Rattus norvegicus: one gene and its partners. The protein of the gene in region 1 purifies or fractionates together with the protein of each later gene. This does not show direct contact. Links are inferred from orthologs where the notes say so. Each region holds a gene or a part of one and is shown in the gene's direction. Other genes may lie near its edges. The genes, in order: Ptpn5, Mapk3 and Atp5po.

What was found.
Region 2: the proteins of Ptpn5 (region 1) and Mapk3 purify together in Homo sapiens (affinity purification with mass spectrometry; 4 studies listed by BioGRID and IntAct, with this or other methods). This does not show direct contact. The link is inferred for Rattus norvegicus from reciprocal best matches to the Homo sapiens genes PTPN5 and MAPK3.
Region 3: the proteins of Ptpn5 (region 1) and Atp5po purify together in Homo sapiens (affinity purification with mass spectrometry; 3 studies listed by BioGRID and IntAct, with this or other methods). This does not show direct contact. The link is inferred for Rattus norvegicus from reciprocal best matches to the Homo sapiens genes PTPN5 and ATP5PO.

The regions. Positions count from the first base shown.
Region 1 is NC_086019.1:106,757,587-106,767,239, reverse strand, and holds part of Ptpn5 (tyrosine-protein phosphatase non-receptor type 5), read left to right. Parts: intron 1-1,324; coding exon 1,325-1,409; intron 1,410-4,544; coding exon 4,545-4,624; intron 4,625-4,813; coding exon 4,814-4,951; intron 4,952-6,187; coding exon 6,188-6,298; intron 6,299-8,604; coding exon 8,605-8,765; intron 8,766-8,853; coding exon 8,854-8,967; intron 8,968-9,277; coding exon 9,278-9,371; 3' UTR 9,372-9,653. UniProt on the Homo sapiens protein: May regulate the activity of several effector molecules involved in synaptic plasticity and neuronal cell survival, including MAPKs, Src family kinases and NMDA receptors.
Region 2 is NC_086019.1:190,797,443-190,807,313, forward strand, and holds the end of Mapk3 (mitogen-activated protein kinase 3), read left to right. Parts: intron 1-875; coding exon 876-1,058; intron 1,059-3,180; coding exon 3,181-3,370; intron 3,371-3,542; coding exon 3,543-3,659; intron 3,660-3,891; coding exon 3,892-4,006; intron 4,007-4,352; coding exon 4,353-4,484; intron 4,485-4,641; coding exon 4,642-4,751; coding exon of another isoform or gene 4,752-4,829; coding exon 4,830-4,952; 3' UTR 4,953-4,984; intron 4,985-5,382; 3' UTR 5,383-5,969; downstream 5,970-9,871. Other genes in the region: lysophospholipase D GDPD3, read left to right, coding at 6,611-6,749, 7,045-7,087, 7,322-7,457, 7,538-7,583, 7,699-7,817, 7,896-7,985, 8,687-8,820.
Region 3 is NC_086029.1:44,647,640-44,657,605, reverse strand, and holds Atp5po (ATP synthase subunit O, mitochondrial precursor), read left to right. Parts: upstream 1-122; 5' UTR 123-126; coding exon 127-162; intron 163-1,238; coding exon 1,239-1,289; intron 1,290-2,668; coding exon 2,669-2,779; intron 2,780-4,759; coding exon 4,760-4,889; intron 4,890-5,072; coding exon 5,073-5,185; intron 5,186-6,011; coding exon 6,012-6,098; intron 6,099-6,260; coding exon 6,261-6,374; 3' UTR 6,375-6,435; downstream 6,436-9,966. UniProt on the Homo sapiens protein: Subunit OSCP, of the mitochondrial membrane ATP synthase complex (F(1)F(0) ATP synthase or Complex V) that produces ATP from ADP in the presence of a proton gradient across the membrane which is generated by electron transport complexes of the respiratory chain.

The DNA.
Region 1 (9,653 bases):
AGGGGACTCTGACCTTCCTCACATTATTCCCACCTCCACCACCCAGCCTCCGCTCCCACTCTCGGCTCCCACCTCTTCCCATGAAAAGAGTCCTCCATGGTCCTTCCTCCTCAATGGATACCATCCATTTTTGTCAAGGAGGAAGGAACACGGGCTGCTTGCCCACTCCGTGCACTTCTGCACATGTGTGTGGTGAGGGTTTTTTTAAATTATTATTTCTTTTAATTCTAACAAGAACCCTAGGAAGGTGCCATTATCTGCATTGTACAAAGACTGTATAGTGTATCCAGAGACAGATTAGAAGAAACTGCACAGGGAGGCATCCCTGGGCAGGCATCCCACCGGCCATCAGTGAGGGGATGGAGTTGGGGGTGAACCTAAGAGTTAGAGCCAGTTTGGAGGTACAGGGCTAAAACTGGTTTGCTCAGCAAGTACGACACCATGAACATAGACCCGCATGGGTCTGCAGGGCAGAGGAGGGAGGCATGGAATGGAAAATCAAGAAAAAAGAAAGCCAAGTCGTGAAGATCACGAGTTCAAGGTCTACCTGGACTACATGAGTTTATTAGTAGTAAGCCACTTGCTGAGCCTCTGCCCCAAAATTTAAAAGGGTAGGGGAGCAAGAGAGCTGGGGTCTTAGCTCAGTAGCTGGGTACTTGCCCAGCATGCACAAGGCTCCGGGTTCAGCCAGTGTAAGGGGAAATAGGAAAAGAGACAAGAGAGGGAGGCTGGGTCCAGAGAGGCTTCACACACCAGGGTGTCTATCAGACACAGAGCTGCTTCCAAGGGACAAATGGCCTTAAGGGATGGAGAAGCAAGCTCTTTTTACTAGGCAATCGGGGAGGGTTCCTAAAGGAAGTGACCTCAGATAGATGTGCGGAGGCGATGAAGGTGGGCAAATATTATTAAATAAAGTGAACATCACAAGCAAAAGTCCAAGGAGAAGGTGACAGACAGCAGGGATACACGTCCCCAGAGCTACCTGACTGGCTGCTGCAAAGAGAGCAGGGAAGGAGGTGGTGGCTGGCAAGGTCGCTTTTTGTCTTGTTGTTTTCTCTTGGCCTTTTATTGAACGTCTATCACAAACCAGGCTGGCCCTCAATAGACAACTGCCGTGCTATTTATTTTATGCCCTTGGCATATGCCAGTAACTATTCTAAATGGGTGTGTGTGCTAACTCACTTGGTAGGAAATGCTTGTCAAATGAATGCATGAACTCATGACGGTCCCTGCACTGGCATTCGGAGGCAAGCAGCCTCTGAATTTGGAACCTCTGGGAAGACCATCCTGAAGCTGCTCACAGCCCCATGTCTTCCTATTCTAGGAAATCCCCATGAACTTTGTGGATCCAAAAGAATATGACATCCCAGGGCTGGTACGGAAGAATCGGTACAAAACCATCCTTCCCAGTGAGTACCTGTTGCCCCAGGGTGGGGAGAGAAGCGGGGTCCTGTCATCTGGGAAGGACCTCCTCAAGTCCAGGGCCCCTGGGGATGATGAATGATCATCACAGGAGATAGAGTGGAGGCTGGGACAACCAGGAAAGGGAAGGGAATGAGCAGGGACGTCTTCACCTTCTGTCCCTGGACCCTTGCCCTTCCTGGTCAGTGGCATAGAGTACAAGAGTAGAAGCACTTACAAAAAGGGTGGCTCTGAAGCAGTGAAACGTGTGCATGGCCTTTCCCTTCTGAGAGGGTATATCATAGTTTAAGAAAACATTCATGGTTCATTCAGAGAAGGTAAGTGGCTTCTTCCACGTCAAACCACACAGCTAGTAAACCAAGGCTTTAAACCTGGGCTTCTATGACTACCTGTGTCCTGTATGACCTGACTGTCAGTCCTCTAACAAGTCCAAAGGGAATGAGGTGCTGTCATCCTGTAGTGATCTGTCTATCATGGGGTGTATCCAAGTGAAGCTATCCTGTAGTGATCTGTCTATCATGGGGTGTATCCAAGTGAAGCTATCCTGTAGTGATCTGTCTATCATGGGGTGTATCAAGTGAGGCTATTCTGTAGTGATCTATCATGGGGTGTATCAAGTGAGGCTATCCTGTAGTGATCTGTCTATCATGATATGTATCAAGTAAGGCTATTCTGTAGTGATCTGTCTATCATGGGATGTATCAAGTAAAGCTATTCTGTAGTGATCTATCATGGGGTGTATCAAGTGAGGCTATTCTGTAGTGATCTGTCTATCATGGGGTGTATCCAAGTGAGGCAGGCTACCTAGTGATGCCCCTGTAAGGCCTGAGCAGGGCTTGTCTCCTTCGGAAGTACTTAGACCTGGCGACCTACCATTCCCATTCTACCCCATGATGCCATTGTCAGGTCATTTTCATCAAGACCCTCTGGGGGGCTACCTCATAAGGGAAGGGGTGGCTTATTGGAAATGAGCCCCCCAAAAACCTACTCAACCCAGTGTGTGGAGTAGTGAGCCCTTAAAAAGCCATCAGCATCTCCAACAGCATGTAAGATGTCATGACTTATTTTTAACTTTTAAAATATCGACTTGTGGTTGCTATGGTTACACAGTCTCTAGGTAGTTACGTTTAAACAAAGCACCATTTAAGGCCAGGATGCCTTATTTGGGCTGCTCACTCACCTCTCTTCTCAACTTATCCTCCCTGTTCCTCTTCTTCCTGCAGGCAACAGCCTGGCTACCCCAGGACCCAGCATTTTGCTTTGCTCCTTAGAATGGAGCTAGCCATACTCTGTGTGGTCCTGCTAGATCGTTGACGGGCTCCCACCTCCTCCAACCATACCCCGAACCTCCAGGTTCCCACACTCAACATAGAATGTGGTACAGCCAGGCAGAACTGACCCTGAACCTTAAGAAACTGGACCAGGAGTGGGGGGTAGGGACAAAGAACATGGAAGGCCCATCAGAGGCAGCCTCTGTGATCAGGGACACCCTGAGATTTATTCTGCCACTGATCACACACATTTCCTGAGGCCCATCCCAGGGACTGAGAATTTGGATGCTGCACACAGAGCTTGGTGTCCAGCAAACGAAACAGCTCTATAAACAGTCCCAGGGTAAGCGCCACATCAGCAACCCATGCGAAGATCAAAATTCAGGGTCACAATGCTGCCCCTTAGTACCTCAAGCCCCAAAAGGACTGCAAGCAACTGGGAGACACTCTGGTTCTTCTTGAATGAAAAGGTGGATGACTCCCTCGGATCCAGCCCCCTCCCTCCCATCCTTACTATCAAGTGATTTTGTGAGTGTTCAGTCTTCCATATTGTCCACTTTTAATGAGCACCATTTACATAGGGTGCACTGGCATAAACATCTCTGGGAGAGACAACGGGCAGGACAGCCTGTGACCTTGACACTTACCGGATTGCGGCAGTCATATCCTGACTTGAGCTTTTTCTCCTTCTTGCCTCTCTCTCACAGTGAGGCAGAGCAGAAATCTAACCGTGTCCCCTTCTTCCTTAAACACAGTCAATGTCACCCTCTCTAGCCTGGTATGTGACACTGTCTGGCATCTGGCTCCTCTCCAGCTTTATCTCTCACCAGCCTCAGCCTTGGCCTGTGCACTTGGTCAGACAACATGTTTGCTGTTTTTCTTCCTGGTCCTTCAACCCCTAAAAGGTGCCACAACCACCCTGTGCCAGTCCCGGTCACCTCTGTCCCTCAGCCCCAGAGCTCTCTTCCTACCCAATGCTATGCTACCTTTGAGGCAGGGATTATTCATCTCTCGTTGATCTAGAAGGCTTTTCTCACAAACATAGCATAAGCAGAGCTGGTGTGAACCTGCAGTCGTGACTGCCACCACAGTGACTCTCTGATTGCCAGAGAGGACAGCGCCCACAACTGTCCTTCCAGCACCTTAACCTGGATAGGCGAAACCAAGACAGTCTAAGCAGAGCTGTCTGCTTGAGCACTCTCTTCTGTTGGCCATGCAGAAGCCCCCCTCCTGCCTACTCTTACTCCTCCCCTCCCCTGAACCACTTCTATGCGCTCTCGACAAGAACTGTCCACACCCTTATCACCCCGCCACGACCTAGGCAGAGATGGAAATGAGAGGCGGACACCCACCACCTCCATCACTGCCTCAACAGCTCCAGGTTCTTCTCCATCCCCATGGTCTGCTGGACCCTCATGATCACGACAGCTATGTTTGTTACATAGCATTTGCCATATGCTGTCAGGTGCTGCTCTTGGGCCAGGGGCTATGGGTTTTTCCTTTTAGCTCTCTTTCTACTATTATTTATTTATTTTATAAGCACATGCATATAAGTGTATGGGGCACACTTGGGGAGGTCTGAGGACAACCTGTGAGATTCAGTTCTCTCCTCCAGCACAAGGGTGCCAGGGACCCAACTCAAGTTGTCAGGCTTGGCAGCAAGCATCTTTACCCTCTGAGCCACCTCACCAGCCCCTGTTAACTCCTTTCATCCTTATAAGATGAATGCCTTATAAGGCATCAGGGAGTGACTCTTCACGACATTCCGAGACAGCACATACTGAAGAAATGTGGGTGCTGTGGAGGAGGAGGTTGGGCCCAGCTCACACCCTCACCTGTCTCCCACCACAGATCCTCACAGCAGGGTACGTCTGACGTCACCAGACCCTGAAGATCCTCTGAGTTCCTACATCAATGCCAACTACATCCGGGTATGTAGCTCCACCCCCAAGAGTCCTCCACTAAAGGAGAGGCATGAGCTGATGAGATCTATCCTTCAGACTTGTCCCCCAAGCAAGTGTGGCTCCTACAAGTCCTAAGAGGAGCCTGAGTGTGGGATGGGGCCCCGGGAGTGCCGCCTCCGACCCTGACCTGACTGGGCTGGACTTGGGTGGTTGCAGGGCTACAATGGGGAGGAGAAGGTGTACATCGCCACCCAGGGACCCATCGTCAGCACTGTGGCCGACTTCTGGCGCATGGTGTGGCAGGAGCGCACACCCATCATCGTCATGATCACCAACATCGAGGAGATGAACGAGGTAGGGACCCCGTGCCACTGCTCCTTGCTCCTTGCTTTGTGCCCCATGTGAAGCATCTCATTTGCATATTAATCCTTCTGAGGATCCTGTGAGCCTGGCATGCACTCAACTGTCCACACAAGGAAATGAGAGGTGTTGAGAGCTAAGGTATACACTCAAGGCAGCACAAAGCTGAACAGGGCTGGAGCCGTCCCACCCACCCGGTCCAGTAGCCATGATTTCAGCCATGATCTTCTGCTGCCTCCCAGTCTGCCACTGATGTGCAAGTTCACGATGAGTAGGCTCCTTTAATTGAAATCTCCACTTAAAAAAAAAAGAAAGAAAGAAAGGAAGGAAGGAAGGAAGGAAGGAAGGAAGGAAGGAAGGAAGGAAGGAAGGAAGAAAATACCCCTCAGAGAGAGGTTGAAGAGAGCTCTCAGTTGAGGACCTGAGCTTTATCCCATGTAAATGAGTCCAGATGTGGTGCATGCAGTTGTATTCTCAGTGCTCAGGAAGCCAGGAAATGGGCAGATCTGGAGCTCACTGGACAGCCAGTCTAGTTACTTAGCGAGTTCCGGGAGATCCTGTCCTAAAAACCAAGGTGGACTGCCTATGAGGAACTACACTCACACTTGAGTTTAACTCTGACCTCCACATATAGGCACACAAACACTCACACACACTCACACACACACACTCACTCACACACACTCTCACACACACTCACACACACACTCACTCACACACACTCACATATACACACTCACACACACACATACACACTCACACACACTCACACCCACACTCACACACACTCACACACACTCACACATACTCACACACACTCACACACACATTCATACACACCTTCACACACACACACTCATGCACACTCACACACACACTCACACACTGACACACACAAAGTCCTATAAAAGGGTACCATTTTCCTTTTTCTTTCTTTTTTTTTTTTTTTTTGTTCTTTTTTCTTTTTTCGGAGCTGGGGCCCGAACCCAGGGCCTTGCGCTTTCTAGGCAAGCGCTCTACCACTGAGCTAAATCCCCAACCATTTTCAAATGGGGAAACTGGGGCTCAGAAATGAGGAGAAGGCCACAGGTTATGAAATCGAGGTTTCAACCACAGACCTCTAAACCGAAGTCTGTTGTCCTTGTATACCTGTCTGCTGGCCCCAGTGGAGCAGGAAGGGATGTGGAAGAGGAATAGGACTGTAACCCAGCCTGATCTTGGTCCTTGCAGAAGTGCACGGAATATTGGCCAGAAGAGCAGGTCGTCCACGATGGCGTAGAGATCACTGTGCAGAAAGTCATCCACACAGAGGACTACCGGCTGCGACTTATCTCCCTCAGGGTGAGACCTGGACCTAGACAGAGAAGGGCTGTCGGGGAGGCTTAGTTGAGACCCCCCACTGAAAACAGTACTGAGAGGCCTACTGTAGGTGACCTGTGGGCCCACAGCACTCCCAGGACTTACTGGTAAGCAGGGGTCAACAGACTCAGACACTAAGAGAACCTCGGCTGCACTTTGCACACCTTGCACGAGTGTGCACTGAGCTCTTGCTGTGCACTGCTGACCATAGCAGCTCCTCTTCACCCCTTCTCAAGTCCAGAACCACCTGGGCAAGGAGGCTTCGAGGGCTCCCAGCGTCGTCCTTACCTAACTGAGAGTTCCTTATGACTGAGTGACAGTGATGTCCCTTCCCCTGGGGTGCTGGCTTCCGATCTGATGCACCCCAAATGTCCACCAGCAGAGGGCAGGCACTCCTTGCTGCTTCGGGGCACATGGTTATGGTTACAGGAATGGCAGGAAAAAGGAAAGCACACAAAATCTGAGCAGCATGAAGCAGCTCAGAAGAGCGGAGGACAGTGTCCTCTGGCTGCAAGGTTGTGCTGCTTCCGGGATAAGCAGAAGAGGAGAGATGTTCCTTTGGTACATCAGAAGGTTCTGAGTTTGGAGAAGTGATAGGATGTGTTTGTGGAGGGTGGAGTCCCCTGTGATAGCCCAGAAAGGTAGAGAAGTTAAGTCAAGCACCAGGAAGCTGATGCCCCATTCAGAAACAGCCTGACCCTGATGCCATAGGGTTCAGCCACAGAAAAGAGCTCAGGGCCTGACGTTTGTGCCTCTGAGCTGCCCTGTCTCTCACTGGATACAGTGCTGGACAAGGCACCAGGGCGTGTTAGCCCTGTGCTGTCAAGTGGACACTGTCCACGTGACCATCTAACGCCAAGACTTCCTGGAAACCCCGAAGGCCAGGGAGTGAGGGGCAAGTGCTGTGGTCACTGTCACAGCAGAGTAACTCAAGGACATGAGGAACCATCTTCCAAATAGAGAGGCTATGAGACAGGCTAGAGAAGAGACAGGACATCTCGCGGTTTGAGGGTGCTTCTGAGCACCTGCTCTGTGGTTCTGGGTTGGGTAGTGGGGGGGGGCATAACCGCGTCCTGGACTCTCCCTTCAAGGAGCACCCGTAAGGTGGTAAACACCGACTAGAGATAGGCAAGGCTACAGAAGGACAGTCTGCTGAGTGGCTTATCTGTGGTGGAGGCTGCTTCCAGGAAGTGCTGTATGGGGTGCTGGGGGATTGGTGAGGGGTGACCGGAGTGGGCTCTTCTAGCACACAGAAGGCACAGCTACATGGGCAGCACACACTCGTGCTCATTTCCTAGATTGTGTCCTTACTTCCTGGGGTCTCTAATCTAAGGGTATGAATCACATCTGAAGGGGTGGACTCCTGACCCATCTTCAGATTCTCCCAAGGCAGAAAGGAGGTCTCAACATACAAAGTTGGGGGAGGAAGCCACCGCATTCAGCCCACATGAAGGGTTTCTTGGTTTGGTGTGGGATTAGAGATTTAACCCAGGTCCTCACTCACACAAGGCCAGAACACACACATACACTCACACACTCTCTCTCTCTCTCTCTCTCTCTCTCTCTCTCTCTCTCTCTCTCTCTCTCTCTCTCTCTCTCTCGTTGAACTACATCCCCAACCCTTTTGACTGTTTTCTTCCTTTTGAGACAGTCGAGACAGTCTCACCAAGTTTCCAAGGCTGGCCTGGAACTTGCTCTGCAGACCATACAGGCCTTGAGATTGTGCTCTCCCTGCCTCAGGCTTCCAAATAACTAGAATCATAGGCCTGAACCATTAGACCCAGACAGCAAAAGGTCTTAAACACAGTGCAGTGTCCAGATCTGTGTTGGGGGGCAGACAGTTTTGATACCATGGGTCATTGGCAGTCAGGGAGGAGGAAGGTTGGATCTTCCCACCCTGGGATGATAAAGCAAAGAGGAGGCTAGCAACGGCTAATGAGGACAATGGGGTGGGCAGTCATGGTGCCTGTGCTCTTGGTCATGTGACTAAGGGATACCTGGAACATCTGGCAGGATAAGGAACTTTCAGACAGTAATAAATTAGAGAAGAGGGCCTTTGCCTCTCTTGGATGATTTTAGAGTTTAGAGGTCAACGTCACCTGCACACACACGTGCACACTGATTGGTCTTGTGCCATTAAGCAATAAGGTAGATGGGGGACTAAGGATCCCTACTCTCCCCTACCTTTCCTCCCTTCCCATCTCCATCTTTGGATCAATTAGGTCTGAAAGCATTCACATGTGTCTGGGGGTGGGGGGGGGGACTCTCTCTCTTTCTCTCCTGGGCAGAGAGGGACTGAAGAGAGAGGCTTGAAGCATTACTGGTTCACATCCTGGCCTGACCAGAAGACCCCCGACCGGGCACCCCCACTCCTGCACCTGGTACGGGAGGTGGAGGAGGCAGCCCAGCAAGAGGGACCCCACTGTTCCCCGATCATTGTTCACTGCAGGTAGGTTCTCCTGGCCACCCACTGGGGCAGGGCCACCCCCATTCCTGGGCTGCCTTGTCCCTCACCCCATCATCCCATTGGCCCTCAGTGCAGGGATTGGGAGAACCGGGTGCTTCATCGCCACCAGCATCTGCTGCCAGCAGCTGCGACGTGAGGGCGTGGTAGACATCCTAAAGACCACGTGCCAGCTCCGTCAGGACAGGTCAGCCCACCGATCAGGGGAGGAGAGGGTGGCAGTGAAATGTGTGCGTGAATCCAGGGACAGTCGACAAACCAGACATGGTGTGTAAGGGAGCAGAAAAACCAAATGGGAGAGAGCAGAATCCAGTCAGCTCTCTCCAGGAGGAAGGCAGAAGAGAGGCAGCCAGCGGGAAGGACGGGAGCTTGAAACAAAGGTGTATCCCAGGAAGGGGCAATGGCTGGGGAGAGTTGGTCTCTCTAAGATGCAGACCAGCCGGTGGCCCTAGTGTTTGGGGATCCCCTCCTGCAGCCTACTGCATCTCTATTGGCAGGGGCGGCATGATCCAAACATGCGAACAGTATCAGTTTGTGCACCACGCCATGAGCCTCTATGAGAAGCAGCTATCCCTCCAGTCCTCAGAGTGACCACACTCTTCCTCTGAGATCCACTGGGCACTGCCGAGTCTGAGGCTGGGGCTTCACCCCAACTACCCAAGGTCTTACCTTGGGTCCTGGGCCTGTTCCCTGGCTCTCCCCTTCAGTCTGCCCCCATCTGTTGTCCTGGCCTGGTCCCTACCCCAAGCCTAGCTCTTCTACTGTACATACTGCAGAGTTCGGGAGGGCAGGGGAGGAATGTGCCAGGCCAGGCCTGGGGCCCCTGGGCCTGACCCACACTATATAGACCTGGGGCCTCAGTTTTAACCATGA
Region 2 (9,871 bases), about 84 Mb from region 1:
AGGTGCGTGCCCGGGACATGGGGTCCGGGGAGTGTCGCAGGGGAGGGATCGTGCAGTGACTTCTGGGGGACCAGGAGCTACTTTCTCCGGGAAGGGGGGTTGGAGGCTTGGAAGCCACCTTGTATTGTTAAGGGAGGGGCACCTGGGGGACCCTAGAGATACAGGTGGAGCTAAGAGGATGACTATTCTTGGTGAAGGGGGAGTGAGAGACCCATAAGCAGGTAGTGGGAGCCTTGGTTCCCCCCTGATGAGGTTGTGACAGAGTTTGAGAGAGCAGAGCAAAGCTCAGGGTGGGGCAAACCTTTGCACCCCTGCCCCTGGCCTTGCCAGAGGCCCAAAGTAGGGAGGGGTCTCTAGAATGTGCCTTATTTTGTGGGATACAGGTTTGTGAGTTCTCGCTGCCCCACTCTGTGCTCTGGGCCTTTGTTCCTATGGGAACAGCTCTGACCCAGGAACCTCACCGGGAGACAGACCTACCCCTTCTTATCTCTTCCCCTGTCCCATTACTGAATCCTCTGGGTTTCATCCACTCTCTCCATTTAACTCCCATCCCCTGGACCTGTCTTGGATTGAGAGAGTCCAGCTCAGGAAAGGGGAGGAGGGTGAGGGCAACTACAATGTAAGAGGGTCCAGGAGAAAGGAAGTCAGTGAGTGGCCACTCTCTTCCTCTGTTTGTGAAGTCACTGAAAGGCTGCCTGGCTGGTCCCCAGCTTTCCCCCTGGAGATTCCAGGCCTTCACAGCAGGAAGGAGCCAGCATTGTTTACACTTGGCCAGAACCCTCTCCTGCTCTCTCCGGTCCCTGCCAAGGCCTGGGTGGGGCCACCAGGCCTGGATTCCCCCTTTGTAAGGCCACACATCTCTCTGGCTCTCTCAGCTCAGCATATGACCACGTGCGCAAGACCAGAGTGGCTATCAAGAAGATCAGCCCCTTCGAGCATCAAACCTACTGTCAGCGCACGCTGAGAGAAATCCAGATCTTGCTGCGATTCCGCCATGAGAATGTCATAGGCATCCGAGACATCCTCAGAGCACCCACCCTGGAAGCCATGAGAGATGTGTATCCTTTAGCCACAGCTCCAGAGCGAGGCTAAGGAGCTTGGCTTTGCTTTCTGTTGTCGTCTGTTGTGCCACCCTCAAAAAAAAAAAAAAAAAAAAAAACCAAAAAAAACCAAAAAACTTAAAAACCCAGCAAAGTAACTTTTTAGCTGAGAGTCTACGGAGCAGAAGAGCACCCTGGCAGGCCTTGGATCCTGGTCTGTTGCAGCCAAGTGGAGTGGCCTTGAACACATCCTTTTCTGCTCTGTGCCCCAGTATGGTGTGTGGGGAGGGGAGAATGCTGGGCAAACCATCTCTATGGGAGCTTTGTCTTCTGACATCTGCAGTTCTGTGACATGACCCAGTCTCTGCCCACAGCCCTTTCTTGCTCAACAGACTCACGATTCTTTAGAGACCTCACACTGGATTGAAAGCGAGGAAGAAAACCAGCATTGGGCATGCCTAGCGCTTTGGTTCTAATTCAACCTTTTAGCTTCCCTGTGTGATGAGCTTTACCGCGTCCATTTCTAAGATGAGGAAACTGAGGCTCTGTGTTTTGCTGGGCCTTCTGTGGGGGAGGGGCGATACTTTCTCCAACGTGGAGAGGGTGGAGGCTTTCACACCACCTTGCATTGTTAAGAGGAGGAACCTGAAGACCCTAGACTCACAGGGCGGAGCCACGCCTTTGCACTCCTGGTCTAGCCAGGGGCTCAAGGAAGGACGAGGGGCCCTGAGAGTCTGCCTATAGAAGAAAGCCTAAATTCAGCTGTTCCTGTTTGTTGCTTCCTCTTCTTCCCCAGTTGGCTTTCTTGGAGCCTTCCCACTCTTCTGAGAGCCCCACCCTGATTACCTGCGGCCTTGTACCTTGACCAGGAAAGGTAGTCCAGCCCTTGTTGCCCTTGCTTGACACTGCTTGCCTAGTTCAGACATTTAGTTCATTGTCCACATGTACTTCCTGCTTGGCGCCATTGCTAGTAGACTGTAGCACCCATGGCCTCTTCCCTACCCACCCCTCCCGATCCCAGGATTTGTTCTGCAGCCTCTGCAGCTCTGACCACAGGAAATCGACTACTCCTGTCTTGTTGCATGACCTTCAGCAGGTCTCTGCACCTCCGGACTTCCACATTTGTAAAGCGGCAGGGTTGGTCCATGTGTGTGTATCTGCATATGCTTGTTCTCTCTTCTTCTTTTTGAGAAAGGGTCTCCCTATGTAGACCAGGCTAGCCCTGAACTCATAGAGATCCTGGGTGCCACCAGCCCCAGCTCTCACATGTCTTCTGTGGAAGACAGTTCAGACTTCATTTTTTGAGAAAGTGTCACTGTGTATCCCTGGTTGGCCTCAGGCTAACTCTGTAGACCTGGCTGGCTTTAAACTTCTAGGCAAGCCTCTGGCCTCTGCTTCAAGTGCTGAGATTGTAGGAGTGACGTACTCTGCCCAGCTCCTGATTACTCTTCCAAAGATAAGCCAGATGACATTTGTTTGTGTTTAGTCTTTGTTTTATCTTCAAGTATAAAAGGACTCTCAGTTCTCCACCTTCTGGTGTACGGTCAAGCTCTCTGTAGGAGCACACTGTGGTGGGGAGTGTCTCCTCACTTTCCTGGCACAAATCATCCCCACAAGGCAGGCATTTATTTTTAAGCAAACAGTCACTGTGTGCCAGATGGTATTCGTGCATTATCTCATTTAACCCACTCAGCGGCCACATGGCTCTGCCCATGGAGTAACAACACTGCTCCTTGTTTGCTGAGCGCTCTCCGTGTGCATCGTATGCTCACAGCACCCTCTGAAGAGCAGTTACTCTCCCTGCTTGTCAGGAGACTGAGGTGGTGTGGACAGGTTAAGAACATCGAGCTGTGGCAGCAACATGAGGACTTCAGGCATGAGTGGGTTAACTCAGAGCTCCCTCCCGTTCTTCCTACGTTCTCCCACTACTGTCCATCCAGCAGAGCCCTCATTTGCCCAGGGGAGAAACTGAGGGCCCAGAATAGATGTACCTTGCACACTGTCAGCTCCAAGTCTTGTGAAGCTCATGAGGCCAAGGGACCCTAGCTGGAAGGGAATACACGACCAGGTCAGAGCCTGTTTTCCTTAACGAAGTGTCTCCTACTCCCCCCAACGTGGGGGTCTCTGGAGGCGTCCTCAGTTACATTGTTCAGGACCTCATGGAGACGGACCTGTACAAGCTGCTAAAGAGCCAGCAGCTGAGCAATGACCACATCTGCTACTTCCTCTACCAGATCCTCCGGGGCCTCAAGTACATACACTCGGCCAATGTGCTGCACCGGGACCTGAAGCCCTCCAATCTGCTTATCAACACCACCTGCGACCTTAAGGTCAGAGGTTAAATGTCTGCTTCTCTTTCTTTCTCTCCTCCTGGGGCCTCTGGGTGGCCAGCAAAAGCAGCCTTGGAACATGGCAAGCAAGAACAGAATAGGCAGGGCAGGGGCACTAACTAGGCTGTGGAGGCCTTAGGCACCTAGCTCAGTAACCTGGGTTTGATTCCAGATCTGTGATTTTGGCCTTGCCCGGATTGCTGACCCTGAGCACGACCACACTGGCTTTCTTACCGAGTATGTGGCCACACGCTGGTACCGAGCCCCAGAGATCATGCTTAACTCCAAGGTAGGAGAGTTACCCACGTCTGCAAGGGAGTCCTAGAGCTATCCCTGGACCTTGGCACAATCCCTCGGGCCCTCGGGCTCTAGCAAGATGTAGAGATTAGAGTTTTCCTAGTCTCTGTCCTTTGCTTTGCCTTTTGCTGGGTTAGACCTAAGTTGGTTATAGTGCTTATCCCAGATACCAGGAGTGGCCCCGATAAGGCTGGCCAGGAAGCTCAGCACATTCTCCTCTCCAGGGCTACACCAAATCCATTGACATCTGGTCTGTGGGCTGCATTCTGGCTGAGATGCTCTCCAACCGGCCTATCTTCCCCGGCAAGCACTACCTGGACCAGCTCAACCACATTCTAGGTGAAAGGGCCTGTCTGGCTGAGAGGGATGGGGGTTAGCGGATCAGAAGTGACATTTCTGGAAGTCGAGACTTGGGTACCACATGTGGAGCCTCTCCAGCATCTCACGGTATTTCTGTAAGGTGTTCTTCCCATTTGAAAGCTGGGAGAAGCAAGGCTAAGCCCTACACCTAAGGAAGACTGCAGCCAGAATCTGAGTCCAGGACTCCCTGGTTCTCAGCTCTTCGTCACTGACCCAGTGGGTAGATGGGGAGTGTGGTGGCTAGGCTTGGACTCCTGTTCTTGCTTCCTGACCTGTTCCCAAAAAGAGGACTTGACTTCTCACAAGACAACTGGTTTACCCACAGGTATACTGGGTTCCCCATCCCAAGAGGACCTAAATTGTATCATTAACATGAAGGCCCGAAACTACCTACAGTCTCTGCCCTCTAAAACCAAGGTGGCTTGGGCCAAGCTTTTTCCCAAATCTGACTCCAAAGGTGAGTGAGAAAGAGGGCCAGGGGTAGGCTAAAACCCAGCAGCCAAGAAGGGTGTGTGACGCTAACGCCTGCCTCAGTAGATAGGCCCCTAGGCACTGGACGGGGCATGTCTGTGGAGCTGCCTTCCTCCTGACTGCTGCCCCCTGCCTTGCCTTAGCTCTTGACCTGCTGGACCGGATGTTAACCTTTAACCCAAACAAGCGCATCACAGTAGAGGAAGCACTGGCTCACCCTTACCTGGAACAGTACTATGATCCGACAGATGAAGTAAGCCGGCCACCAGCGGCTGGGAGGGGAATTAGTGTTCCCAGTGTCCGGCCTGTGCCTTACTGTCTTTGCCCCCAGCCAGTGGCTGAGGAGCCATTCACCTTTGACATGGAGCTGGATGATCTCCCCAAGGAGCGGCTGAAGGAGCTGATCTTCCAAGAGACAGCCCGCTTCCAGCCAGGGGCACCAGAGGCCCCCTAACAAGAACAGACACCCCTGTCCTTTTGGACCTGGTGAGTGGTTCCTGATGCCTCTGCATAGCCACATCCTGTTCAGAGGCTGGCCAGCCTGAGTGCTTCCTCATCTAATACATGTGTGGTAGCAACAAAGGGCCAGAGCCTGCTAGTCACATGTGACCACACACCCTCCAGCCCCATTCAATTCCCACTTGTCAGCATCCACTGAAACCCAAAGGTGAGGGATCCTCCCCTTATGAGGAGCCACTCCAGGCCTTTCGGGCAGAGTATACCATGATGACTTTGAGGGGAGCCCGTAATCACTGTAGCACTTGGTGGCTGCTCTTGTTAACTGCAGATAAGGAATCCATGACCCACAAAACTTGACAGACCAGAGGCACTGGAGTCAAGGCTCACCCAAATGACAGTTCTTTTCTGTCTGTTTCTTTCTTCAGGTCCTGCTCCTACCTGCTCCTTCTCTGCAGATTGTTAGAAAATGAACTTTGCTCAACCCGGACCCCGGCAGCCCAGGCTGGACCAAGGGTGGGCCTGGCCACCCCCTCTCACTCTGCTGGGGTCTCCTGCTTCAAGCAGGCTTCTCCCACTCCAGTCCCCTGCCCCATCTCCCCTTGACCTGAGTGATGAGGTGGTCCCAGAGCTGATCTCTGCTGCTGTGTCTTTATCTATCCCTGCTAGCCCCAGCTCTGGTAGACGGTTCTGGAATGGAAGGGCTATGACCGCCCTAGGACCTGTGCTACAGAGGGGTGGAGGGCACTGAGTAGGCTAAGCTCTGCCCTACTCATCCTGTTGGAACCCCACCCCATTTTCCCTGACAGAACATTCCTAAATCTCAAGGGCTAGTTTCCCTGAGGAGCCAGGCCTAGGCCTAACCCTCTCCCTCTCAAGCTGCCACATGTAACGCCCTTGCTGCTTCTGTGTGTGGGTGATTGGATGTGGAGGTGGGGCCCGTGGAGAGCCCGTGCCCCTCCCCACCTCCCTGTGCCTGTATCTAATATATAAATATAGAGATGTGTATATGGATGGCTCTGTCTCTGTCTGTGTATGCCGACGCGACCAACATGCTGCACCCATTACTGCCCCACCTCCAGCCCGGCCTTCACATGGTCCTGGTAGTCTTTGGCTCCAGCTCGCCAGGGATGAGGTTGGGTCTAAGGAGTGCCAGTCTCCTGGGAAGGGGTCAGTCTCCCTTTAGTCACTGTCTTCCCTAAGAGCTTCCTGTTTAACTGCCTGGAGTGATTTGGGGTGACTCAGGGGCACCTTACACATCCCCAAATTCCTAGGAAGTGGCAAAGGTAGTAAATTAAAGTTTCTGTCCACGAATACCTATGGGAGGCAGAGAGATCCAAAAACTAGGGGGTAGGGGTTGGGCTGCTTAATCCCCCACACACAGGGTCAAGAACAGAAGGGGGTGTTGGGGTCTCTGAACGAGAGACCCAGGGCTGTCTGCCTCAGTTCCTGCGCCTGGCCCCAGCTCTGGGCCATACTGCAGTCTGGCCACATTCCAGCAGCACCCAGCAGGCTCAGCAGGTCCATGGGTGTGGTGCTGCCCCGTGGTGGAGCCAGCCTGCACTGGCTCAGCAGGAAGGCTCGGCCCCAGGCATCAGAGCCCTTTGGGACTGGGAAGGCAGTGCTTTTGACAGAAGCCTGCTGTGGAGCGAGGCTATGATCCCCCTCGTGTACTTCGTTCTGCCCACCCTGGGCAGCTATGTAATTCTCTCCATCTTCTTCCTGCGCCGACCTCACCTGCTGCACACACCCTGGGCTCCAGGGTTCTCCATCCGCCTGGCTGCACACCGTGGAGGTGAGCTGAATCAGGGATGTGGAAGGGATGGAATCCATTTAGGATAGAGTGAGCCAAACCAGACAGGTGCCATGGTGGGCAGCAGCACATTGTCAAGGTGCAGGGCAGGAGTGAATGTTAAACCAAGAGCGAGGTAAGGAGAGTCTCGGCAACTGGAGGGCATGTGACGGAAGCAGAGGCCAGTTCAGCTGACTGGAAGAGAAGAAGCCTAAAGCAAGCAGATGACCATCAGGAAGAAAGGTAGGCAGGAAGGTCAAGCCAGGTCCCAGGAACCCACCCAAACTGCTTTCCACAGGGTCTGGGGAGCGGCTGGAGAACACCATGGAGGCAATAGAGAAGTGAGTCCAAGCCCCAGCAAGTCCCATGTAAGGTTGTGGGGTCCTGGGTTGTGCTCTGCGGGGCAACCAGGGTTGCTACTTACCGGCTTCGTCAGTCGGGTATCTAGAAGCCCTGGAATTGTGTAGATGGGGGTCACATGTCCCACCGTAAATTCTGTGCCAGTATTTCCCCTCCACTACATGCCCTGGTCTTTCCTTTGTCCCCTTTCCCCCCACCAACCTTTGCTCCCATAGTTCCATGGCCCAGAGAGCAGATCTCTTGGAATTTGACTGCCAGCTCACCCGAGATGGCGTGGTGGTAGTGTCACACGACAAAAACCTGTCCCGCCAGTCAGGCCTAAATAAGGATATAAACACCCTGGACTTTGCGGTGAGTTTTGCAGCCCCTCAGCCTGAGAGCTGCCACCCTTAGACACATGCACCCTGATGATGCTTCTCTGCTCTCCACAGCAACTGCCCCTCTACAAGGAAGAACTGGAGATTTACTTCTCGCCAGGTAGGATGTGTGTGTCCTTGCACTGCCTAGCCGCCTTCTCATATACGCTCATTAAACCCCTCCCTCTAGCCCGTTTATCCCACTCTGACCCCAGTTTTTGTGACACCCCCCCCAGGCCATTTTGCTCACGGGTCAGACCGGCACATGATTAGTTTGGAGGATGTATTCCAGAAATTTCCAAGGACTCCCATGTGCTTGGAGATCAAAGAAAAAAATGAAGAACTCATTCACAAGGTAGTACCTTGTGCCCAGCAGGTGAGGCCAGGCCCAAGAGAGGCCTGGCTTCCCTTCCTCCCTTTGTCTCTACTGTAGGTAGCCAACATGGCGAGGCGCTTTAACCGAAACGAGATTACTATTTGGACTTCAGAGAAGAACTCAATCATGAAGAGATGCAAGGCTGCCGTGAGTCCCTCTTTCTCTGTTGTGGGGTTAGAGGCCACCCCCAGCCCAAGGAAGGGCCCCAGGAACTAGCCTTCAGCATGGTCTCCAAGAGCAGGATTGGAAAAGTCAGACATAACTGTGTACTGGCATGGTGTTGCCAGGAGGCCTGCTTTGGGAAGCCTCCCATACTGGCTGTTGGTCAGGTGTTTGCTACTGTGACAGACTTCAAGCCATACCTCACGGGTCATTGTTCAGAGATTTTAACCCATATCACTTTGGGCCCAAAGCTAGAGGTCAAGAGAGCTCAACAACAGCTTAGGAGGAGCAGAGATAACGCCTGGGCTGACTTCTTCCTTCTTCCCCATTTTTTTGGGCCCGGGAGGTGGGGAGAACAGGATATACCATTTTGGGAGCAGATGCCAGGCTGCTTCTTCCCCTACAAGCTCCTTCCGAGCCTACGGAAAAGCTACTGCCCACAGTAAGGGGGCGCCTTCTCCCATAGCTAATTTTGTGGAAACATCCTCAGGCGTGCCCTCAGGTATAACTCACCAATCTCCTAGTACTACTTCTTAGGCCCATCAAGTGGACAGAGTAACCATTATACTGTTCAAGGTGTGACCGTGATGTCCGGCCCTGACCCTCTCAGCGAGTACCACCTCTCTGCTGTCTCTGGTGGAGACAGACAGATGGGTCACCTTCTCACCTCTCCCCCTGCCTCCCAGAACCCTGAGATGCCCACGGCCTTCACAATATGGCGATCATTCTGGATACTGCTGCTCTACTACCTGGGGCTACTGCCTTTTGTCTCCATCCCTGAGAAGTTTTTCTTCTGTTTCCTGCCCACCATCATCAACAGGTACCAGTGGTGAGATGGGCTCGGCACCTCTCTGCTCAGGGCACATTGCCCAGAATTTGTGTGGCAATGACCCGAGATCCCCAGTTTCCTCATTTCCTCAGAGTCCTCCAGGTTCTTTAAATATTTGTGTGTGTGTGTGTGTGTGTGTGTGTGTGTGTGTGTGTCTGTGTGTGTGTCTGTGTGTGTGTCTGTGTGTGTGTGTGTGTGTTTGTGCAGGTGTATGCCACACGTGTGCAGTTCCCTGGAGAGGCTAGAAGAGTATGTCAGATCCCCTGGAACAAGAGTTACAGGAAGTTGTGAACCACCCAACATGAATATTTAGAACCAAATTCAGATCCTCTGGAAGAACAGTGAGTTCTTAACCACTCCACATCTCTCCAATCCCAAGACCCTTTAAAGAGGATAGTGACCTCTTTTTTATTTTGTTTTGTTTTATTGAGAGAATTTTATGTATCTTAAGCTGGCCTGAAACGAAGTAGCTGAGAAGAAAGACGTTGAATTTTTAATCCTCCTGCCTCTACCTGGTTTTATTCAGTGCTAGAGGCTGAACACTGGGTTTTGTGTATGCTTGGGACACTACCAACTGAGTCACCACCTGTTTTATTTTTTTAATTTGTTACAGAGGGGTGTGTGTGCGTATGTACGCGTGGTGTCTGTGTGTGTGTGTGTGTGTGTGTGTGTGTGTGTGTGTGTGTGTGTGTGTGTGTGTATGCCAGAAACAACATCCTTTCTGCCTTTAGGTAGGTCCTAGGGATTGGATTCAAGTTGCTGGGCTTTCGTGGCAAGGACTTTTGTCCTCTAAGCTACTGGTTCTCAACCTGTGGGTCAAGACCCCTTTGGAGGTGAACAACTCTTTCACAGGGGCTGCCTAAGACCACTGGAAGACACAATACTTAAAATTCATAACAGTAGCAAAATTATAATTGTGAAGTGGCAATGACAATGATTTTATGGTCGGGGTCACCACAATGTAAGGAACTGTATGAAAGGGTCCCAGCATTGGGATGCTTGAGAACCACTGCACTAAGCCATAGAGAAGGCCTGGTATATT
Region 3 (9,966 bases), on another chromosome or scaffold:
TACCCACACGCCCCGGCTCCTGGTGCGTTCATTTCCCAGAAAACCGAGCGATCACGCCGACGCGCGCATGCGCTCTGGCATCACTAGTCTCTTACTTGGGTTTGACCTACAGCTGCCCGGGAAAAGATGGCCGCACCAGCAACATCCGTGCTGTCCCGACAGGTAGAAGCTGACGGGAGGGTCCCTCCTGGGGTTCCCGGTCCCCGACTCCCAGCGCTGCGTGTGAGGCTGTGGCTGAGGGGTCAAGCCGCCCACCAGGGTCGTGGGGCCCGGCCATTTCAGGAAGCGTGGGGCTGATTCGCGTTTTTTCCCCCGTGGGGAGTGGGCACGAATTGCGCTATCTTGACCTTGACATCCAAGAGTCGATGCATAGCTGAGCAGCTGGCAAAAGCATGGGAGAGAGAATTGGGGAAAGCACACGTCTAGCCTTGTTCGTAAACCTGCCAGGGCTAGCTGCTGCTTGGCAGTATTGAGTGTTCGTAAAGCGCATTCCATGTGTTTATAAAGAAGGAAGAAAGGGTTAAACCTCTTCTTTGGCTGGCAGCCAGTAAGTGGTGAGATTGCAACGGGCCAAGTCCAGCAGAAACTGGAATTGGGTGGATCATCTGCCCTGATGATTTTAATTTGTACTTAATTCATAATTTTTATCAAGGCCTGAGAAAGCTTTTTAACCCTCATAGCCAGTTCTAGTCGAGTACACCCTAGAGATGGGAGTATAGACAGTGACCTGTGCCCTTGAGAGGTGCTTTTTAAATGGCATTCCAGGCTTCTCCAGTGACAGACTCAGTGCCTGGTGCTATATGAAAAGATCTTTGGTGTTTGATATCACTTCAATTCCTTAGCACATAGGTTTACTCGAATCAAGGCTGGCCTCCTCTTATGTTCATTAAAGTTTTTCCCAAAGGTGATAGAAATATAAATCCTCCACTTTGCTAAAGCATTTTCCTCAAATGTGATAAAGCTCTTGACTTTTTTTTTTTTTTTTTTAAATTCAATTTTGAGAAGCTAGCATTTTCTTTCTCAACTACCCAGGGAGGAAGGCAGTTGAAAGACAGTTTCTGAAGCAGTTTGGGGTGACTCTCAATAGGGAATGTATAGGTAATAAGGAGCAGTTCCCAGTCATGTAAGCTTTGTGACGATAATGTAAAAGAATTATGCAGCTCTTTGATTGGAATATTTTAACCTATTGCTAAGCTAATGCAGAAACCCTGTCTCATCTATTTTCTTCTGTTCTAAAGGTGCGGAGTTTCAGCACATCTGTGGTCAGGCCCTTTTCGAAGCTTGTAAGGGTATGTCAGCTTGCATTTGTCTGTGGGGGGGGGGTGGTTGGAAAGCAGTGAGGGAGTGAGTTGAACAGAAACACCGTGAAGTGTGTGTGCGATTACTAAACTTGGTCTGCAAGGATAGCAGTTCTCAAACGACTGCCTGGGATGCAGGGGATGCTGTCAGGTGCCTGTCACATAGGGTGGGCTCAACCCTAGTCTTTAATGTTCTAAAATGTACTTGTTTGGGCCAGCAAGAGGGCTCAGTCGGTAAAGGCTGGTGATGACAACACACACACAGGGTATGTATAAAAGAATCTTAAATTGTTTTTTCTAGTATTCCTCCATAGACAAGCTAGCCTTTCCTTCTCTTTTTATGAAGGAGCTATTTGTAACAAAAGAAAGTAAAGTACCCAGATTCTAACATAGTCGATACTCTGTGTTGCCTCTTGACTCTGGCAGCAGTGAGGTATGCCTGCAGTCTGCACCTTTTTTCCCTCAAGTAGAGTCAACACTGACAGGTACTGTTCCAGGCACCAACAACAGTCTGACTGAGCATTGCAGAGGTCTGCTGGCCTCTTTCTTTTTTTTCTTTTTTTTTTTTTTTTTCTTTTTTTTTTTCGGAGCTGGGGACCGAACCCAGGGCCAAGCGCTCTACCACTGAGCTAAATCCCCAACACCCCTTTTCTTTTTAAACCAGGAGTCTGACTGACCCCCATGCAGGCAGCTCCACCCTCTTACGGAATTCGGATTGGAGTGTGGCTGTGTGTGCATTTGTTTTGTAATCCTTTATTACTCGTTCATGCATGGCAGAATGTAAGGATACTCTGGGCTGCCGTGTGCTCTCTGACACCTGGGTCAGTCACTGCACTCACACTCTCCTCAGGACTAGCAAGGCAGAATGCTCTGGGGCACGTGAGATGGGACTAACAGCAGTACACACTACACTTCCTAACACCACCAAATCCCTTCATCCTCTGTGGGTGGAGCCATTTTATCCCTCCCGAGAACTTCATAAAACACCATTACCATGATGGGGACGCACGCCTGCACTTCTTACACGCTGTCCCCCTCCGCTTACCTTCACAACTGCCTGCCATGGTACTAAGTAAACTCCTGTGCTTAAGGACAGCACTGTCACTGGGGTCATGAGGTCAAAGAAAGCAAAAGCTTGCCATAACAGTTGCAGGCAGGGAGGCTGGGAGGGACACGGGACACTGCCTTCCCTGCCCCTCCAAAGTTAGGGCAGGTCCTGGCCAGGGAGTCATCCCTGGTTTGTGAATTCTCACTTAGGCTGCCCCTTGGTGAAGTATTTAAATGGTGTGGCAGTGGGAACGTGGTCTTAGCTTAGGAGTGATTCTGTTCCTGGCTTAGCTACCTCACTCCCCTCCTCCTCTTGTCTCCAGCCCCCTGTCCAGGTCTACGGCATCGAAGGCCGCTATGCAACCGCCCTGTACTCTGCTGCGTCTAAGCAGAAAAGGCTGGACCAGGTGGAAAAGGAGTTGCTGCGAGTGGGGGTGAGGAGCTCTCCTGTTGGACCTGTTCCCACATTGTCTTCAGTTACTGTAACAGGGCATGACCTTAAAGAGAAGCACTAGACACTACAAAGAATGTTTACTGCAGACATGCTGTTGATGATGAGACAGCTTTATTATTCTGAAACTTTTCTGTAATGTGAGCCAGGAGATGCATAAGTTCATTACCATGAACCCAAGTTTTTCAGCTAGAAAATAAAAGTAACTCAAGAGCACCCGCCATTTTAGACAAGAATCTAAAGACCGAGTTAATGTTTATAAGCCTAGAGTGGGAGAAATGTCCTCGACTCCATCTTCACGGTACTGAAGTTATATTTTCTTCCTGAACGTTTCTTTAGAAACTTTTCCTGGGTTTAATTATTTTTTTTTTAAACGTTTCTTTCTTTCTTGGGAGTTGGGGAGTGTCAGGCACGCACAGTGCAAGTGCAGAGGTCAGAGTCCTCCCCCTTTACACTGTGAGTTCTAGGGGTCAAACTCAGGCCAGCGGCCTTGGTAGCAAGCACCTTTGAGCTCAGGCCATCTTGCCCTTCCTGGGTTTGTATAATTACTTTGGTCCCAAGATGTGAAGAAAGAATGGCTGGGTGCACAGTCGGAGTTGGGTGCCAGCAAAGTGAGACAGCAGCTGCCCAGGCTGCAATTTCCTCTTTGCATTTTCTCCTGAAACACAGAAGAGGAAAAGCAGCCTTGTGAATTAGCAGAAACCCAAGTGTGACTCGGGTCAGAGGCCACCCCTTCCATTTCCTCTGGGGTAGCTGCCCCTAAGGCTGTAGGGCTCCCATAAAGGAAGAGTTGAGAGAGAATAAAGTCGGTCGCTAAGAGAAAAGATGGTTTTCCAGTTACATGTTTTAAGAATGGTGTATATTTTGTAATCCACACATCTACTGAAGAGAAAAGGCCCGGCCACACAGGATAACACCGTGTCCTCTGTTTATCGGCTGCGTGTGGTCAGTTCTGCTCTCCCTGAGCCAGGAAGTCCTGTTCACCATCAAGATGGTGATTTAGACGGTGGACATTAGAATGGGGTTGAGGCAGGCAAGATGGCTCATTGGGTAAGAATACTTGCCCCCAAGCCTGACAGCTGGAGTTCATTTTCTGGGACTCACATGGTGGAACGAGAAAATCGAGTCTAAGGCTGTAGGGCCCCCTTGTTTGTCCTGCACACATTCACTGTGACCCACACAGGTACAGGTGCGTGCCCTCCTACCCCCACCCCTCCCTGCCCCCCCTTCTTTCTTTCTCTGCCCCCCCTTTTCCCATCCCCCCTTTCCTCTCTCCCTCTTCCAATGACTTAGGTTTTGGCTTAATAAAATCCAGAAGTCTGTCATAGAGGAAAAAGAGGGGTGACAGTTATCTGAGGTTCTGAACATAAGTGAGATTATGAGGGTGGGGAGGGGTGTGGATAAAAGAGGTCACCCTGACTGTCTCCTGGATTTTGCTAGCAGACACACGAACTGTGCAGCCTCTCCAGTGTAAATCGTAGCATGGAAGTCTTTGCATTCTATGGCAATGGCCTAAATTCTGGCCAGGAGCCACTGAGGTGCTGGGAGTAGCTGACAAGCAGGAGGACACATTTACCAGGAAGGTGCCCACCCAGGAAGAACTGCTGCGGGTCCTAGAGCCCTGGGCGGCTGCTGAGAGCAGGGGATGAGATGGATTGACAAGGTGTTGTGACTTTCGCCCTCTCAGACCAGTCTCTCAATGTTAGGTTTGTTCCAGGACCTCTGTTGGAGGGAGGGCACACCTAGGGTCTCCTGAGACACAGAAGCTCAAGGGTTCTGTACTTGTGGGTGGTGCTGTGAGGAAAGCGGGCTTGCCGTGTCATACATGGTGAGACTTTGGCTGCTTAATTCTCGTGATCCTTCTTAAAAATGCATGCAAGAAACTCCAGAAGGTGTTTTTGAGGTTCCTCAAAACATGGTTTTAGTCCCATGTGAAGTCAGCTGGGACTGTGTGTGCTTTCAGCAACTCTTGAAGGACCCCAAGGTGTCCCTTGCTGTTCTGAATCCCTACATTAAGCGCTCCATCAAAGTGAAAAGCCTGAAGGACATCACTACAAAGGAAAAATTCTCTCCGCTGACGGCCAACCTCATGAGTGAGTGCTGGGGTCCCAGTGGGCTTTTCCTAAATCCCTGTTGGGTATTTAAAAACAGCGCTCATAACCACTGAGCGCCTCTCCAGACCCCATTCATATCCTTAAAGGACTGAGTATGGTATTTTCAGGCTACAAGGTGTCATTGCTTTCGGTGGCTCAGTGAGTTTCCTGTCACTTTCCCAGATTTACTTGCTGAAAATGGTCGCCTAGGCAACACCCAGGGCGTCATCTCTGCCTTCTCCACCATCATGAGTGTCCACCGTGGAGAAGTGCCGTGCACAGTGACCACAGCATTTGTAAGTAACAGCTCTTGCTGCTGCACTGGGGACATGGCTGGTCCCTCGTGAGGTTCTGTCAACTTCCACTCAGAAGACCCAGTGTGTGTCCTATTAGTGATTAGTCGTGGGGGTCTGAGTGTTTTATGAAATAATGACTTAGGCCCTGTTACAACCTGAAGTCTTAAATGGGATGGGAGCATTTACCTGTGGGTTGGGGTGCACAGGCCCTCTGATCCACTGGAATGAAATGTTAACGAGTCACCGTTCTTCAGGGCTGCCATCTGCTGGGGACCTTGTAATGTGTTACTGCTCTCAGAAAATAGGCATCCAATTGAACTGTAATTGTCCTTATTTTACAGTCAGGAAGCCCAGCTCAACAAGACAGGCTCAGGATCTGAACACAGGCTCTCCTCTCAGAGGCCCATACTCTTTATGCATTATATGCCCTGCGACAAGTCATTTTATTGTTCTCCCCATGACATAGGTCAACCAGAACAGGAAAGGTGTTTGATGCAACACATGAGTAGTAGTGTACAGCCCCTGGCCTCATCCAGGTTGTAGTTCAGTTGGGGGGGTGGGGAGCTTGTGTGGCCAAGCCCTCTGCCTAAAACCTGTGCATTAGAGCATGCATTGTGGTGTGGCCATTCCCCAGGCCCCCACCCCCACCCCAAAACACTCAAGCACACACTCACACATTCGTGCATGCATGCATACACATGTGCACACAGGTCAGTCAGGAGTCACTGGCCTGTCTTGGTTTCATACCCACTGTGGTATTTCTCTCTCCTTTGACTGTGTTTGCTGCTGTAGTGCTCTGCTTAAAGGATTGTTGCTTCTTTTTCAGCCTTTAGATGAAGCTGTTCTCTCTGAGTTAAAGACAGTGCTGAATAGCTTCCTGAGTAAAGGCCAGATACTGAACCTGGAGGTCAAGGTGGGTTTGCATAATTGTGGAGTGTGTTAGTGCCAGGGCAGGGCTTACACACAATGGTTCTGACTCAGGTGTAGTTCCCATTTGTGTGGTGGGTGGCCTGCCTACCCCGGGATGTTCTCATCTGCGCTGTGTTTCATGTGTGCGGCCTGTTTTCTTTCCTAGACTGACCCATCAATCATGGGTGGGATGATTGTCCGAATTGGAGAGAAATACGTTGATATGTCTGCAAAGAGCAAGATTCAGAAGCTCAGCAAGGCCATGCGGGATCTGCTCTGAGAGACTGTCACCTGTGTGAGCGCTTGTCTTTGGAGCACAATAAAATGCTTCCTGAACAGAGGACGTGAGGGCCCTTGTCCTTTAAGGGGCAGCACCAGGTTTTCAACCTCCCACAGGACAAATCCTCTCATCTCCAGGTTAGAAAGTCCTTTGGGCTGGAGGATTTAGTTTGTATGTGTCATTCGTAGGAATTCATTGACTCAGTAAGCATTGTACCTACATATATAGTCTAGTACTGCCTATCAAAATCTCCTATCTTTGAAGGGAGCTGAGAAGTGGTCCCTAACCAGTCATGAAGACCTCCCTACTGAAAGGCTCTCAATCCTGACACAGAGCCCCTAACTGTAGGAAGCTCTAACATTCAAGACTACACTTTGTGTTCCTAGCAGTCTTGTGATTTGCTCAGAGCGACATGGCTAAGCAGCAGGTGGTGAGGCCCCAGGACCCTCATTTGCCATCTCCAGCTCACGCCTGTTCCCTTGTGACAGAAGGCACGCTTTGACCACTGCTGGAGCCAGCCCACCAGGCTACACACACGTCCCATGTCCCCTCCCCCAGTGTTCTGAGTTCACCTAAGCCAAGCAGCACACACATTCCTCCTGAAGCTTACCTCTGAGGCTGCTGGAGCAGCCAGATCTCCCTGAGTGACTGTAGTCCCTCCCTGAGCACTCCCAAGAGTGTTTGCCTAACAGACTACTCTGACTACTCCAGAGCGCTCCTGGTGGATACCTCAAGAATGGGCAGAAAGAGTGCAGCAAGTCCTCAAGGGCAGGGGCGGGCCCAGGGCTCCACTCCCTGCCTGCTCCAGCATGGCTGTGGGCCCTCACCGGCCCATCGGGCCTGGCAGCCACCTGCCAGAGACCCCAACAGGACTACAGCACAAAGGACTCTGCTTTCCAGGGGCCAAGAATGCCAGGACAGGTCTGATAGCATTTCTCACTCGCTGCTCACAGTGCAGCTAACCGCTTGCACTGGCCAGGTCTGAGGAGCCTCACCACAGGTAAGGCTTAGCGGGTAGAACCGAGGGAATGGGCGTGTCCCAGGTTGCCTTCACCGCAGCAGCCTGGCAGTCCACACTGGTGGGTTTTTCCAACTGCATCCAGTTGAGATGGCCGGGTCCAGGCTGGGTGCCAAGGCCAGTGCTGTCAAAGGCACCAACGCCTTGCCAGGTTTCCCCATTGACCTCTGGGCTCCCACCACAAGGAGAATGACCCAGTGCTAAAGCTGCATCCCACACTGTTGAGCTTCCCCTCCTGCTGAGTGTGACCATACCACACCATTCTCTTTTCTATCTTTCCCCTTTTTTTTTTCTTTTTTTTTTTCTTTTTTTCTTTCTTTTTTTTTTTTTTTTTTTCTTTTTTTGGAGCTGGGGACCGAACCCAGGGCCTTGTGCTTGCTAGGCAAGCGCTCTACCACTGAAGTAAATCCCCAACGCACACTCCATTCTCAAAGAAGCCCAGCTTCCTCCTGATGACCAGACCAGCAGCCTTACACTCTAACTCCAAGGCTCCTATAGGCAATGCCTGCCACAGACAGCTCACAGATCCTTGAGAATTGGCTCAGCCAGCTTCCTCTTGAAGAAGCACACAAATCCTGGAATACCTGGAGCTTGGCATCCTGAAGTTGCCAAAGATGACCCCAGAGCCTTTTCCACGGTAACTTAATGTGGCATACAGCCCGGAGCTCTGTAGATGAGGCTGGCCGTGAATCTAAGGCAGCCTCTCAAGTGCTGAGATTCAGACATCACACACCCAGTTTACAACAATGCCCTTCCTAACACCGTCAAAACAGCCTGGTGTGTGCCACATCCCATAATCCCTGCACTCACAAGACTGAGGCAGGAAGATTATGAGTTTTGATGCCATCCTTCTTTACATATCAAAACCCTATCTAACAGCAGAACAAGCTATGTGGTGGTGGCACATGCCATTAATACCAGCACTCAGGAGACAGGCAGGCAGATCTCGAGTTCAAAACCAGCTTAGGGGGTTGGGGATTTAGCTCAGTGGTAGAGCGCTTGCCTAGGAAGCGCAAGGCCCTGGGTTCGGTCCCCAGCTCCGAAAAAAAAAAAAAACAGCTTAGTCTACAGAGTAAGTTCTAGAACACTCTGGGCTACACAGAGAAATTTGGCAAAAAAAAAAAAAGAACAACCCAATACAGGACAGCCTGGTGGGGAAGCTTTTATCATTCTTTCAGAGGTACTGAATTCTAATGCAGCACTCAGGTCAGCTCACAAACACCTGTAACTGCAGCTCCTCCAGTAAGACACACTTGTGTGTGCATGCACGCCCCCACATAACAGTAAAAATAATAACAAAATAGATGTCAAAATGTGCCACTTGGTACTTAAGACAGATTAGTATAAATGAATGTCAAGTCAAACAGCCCAGTCCCATGCAGTCCTCCAAAACCAAGTTGTGGGAGACGAGAACTAATGAGAAAGCAAGCAAACAAGACGGGAAGGTTCCTGTGACGTGTGCAACTGAACAGTCCTTGTGTGTGGGCACAGTGTAGCATCCATGCTGGGTTCTCAGGACACAACACATGAGGGCATCACAAGTCTCACACGGAACCCAGTTGTGCATGCCTGGAACCTCAGTCTTGGGGTGGTGAGACAAGAAGACCAGGAGTTGAAGGCCAACCTTGTGTGGCCCTGCCCAGAAAGCAGAAAAGCACTTGTGTAGGAGTGTGGTGTGGCTTCGTCTCCTGTATTTTTCTGGACCTGCTGACTTTGCCTTTGGCACCCCATGACTGTTCTCAGCACTTCTCATGCTCTCAAGAATACTCAACACGAGTCTGTCTCTGCTATCCCAGGAGAGATGAGAAGGTGGCGGTTGCCTTGTTTTGTTTTTCTAGGTTAATTTTTGCATCATTTTTCTTGTACAACTACAACCTTATCTCTGGGAAATAGACGTAAGTAGAGACACCTGTCTCAGGGCTCTTAGCATCCTGTGTCTGCAGAGGAGTGAAGGCAGAAAGAGCTCAACCTGAGCGTGAGGTTGGCTGTTCTTACTTTCATGAACTATGTGATTTAAACCATGCAGGTCAAAAGGACCCCAGAATCAACTGAGGAGGTTGTCCTTATGCTCTCGATTTAATGGCGGCTCCTGCCAACGCTGCCTGTGCTGCAAAGAAAGCAGAAAACACCCTGACGCCTTGATCTGAATGGACAGATTCACATGCAGATGCCAAAGGGGTGTTCCAACCGCAAAATAAATAAAGAAAATTAAAAACCTGCTCTTAAACAGAGAAGAAGCAGTGTGGCCCTATGCTAGCAAACCTTAGATAAGAGTGGCATTCTGTAATTTATAGTAACGTCTAATACTTCTTTAGAACTCCATTAATGTTACAAAGCAGATATGATCTCTTTTTCATAAGTACTGTTACTTGGCAACAAATAGGTATTAGAATGCACAGGACATGTATTGGGAGTGGCCTGCTCTGCCGCTGGGCAAGGCTGTGAAGGAACCACGTGCCACCAGCCTCAAGGCCTACTACAAAGATCACAATGGCTGGTTAACCTCACCAACACACCGGGGGAGGACCTACATCCTAACTTCTCTTGTCTGCACATTCACAACACCTAGGACAA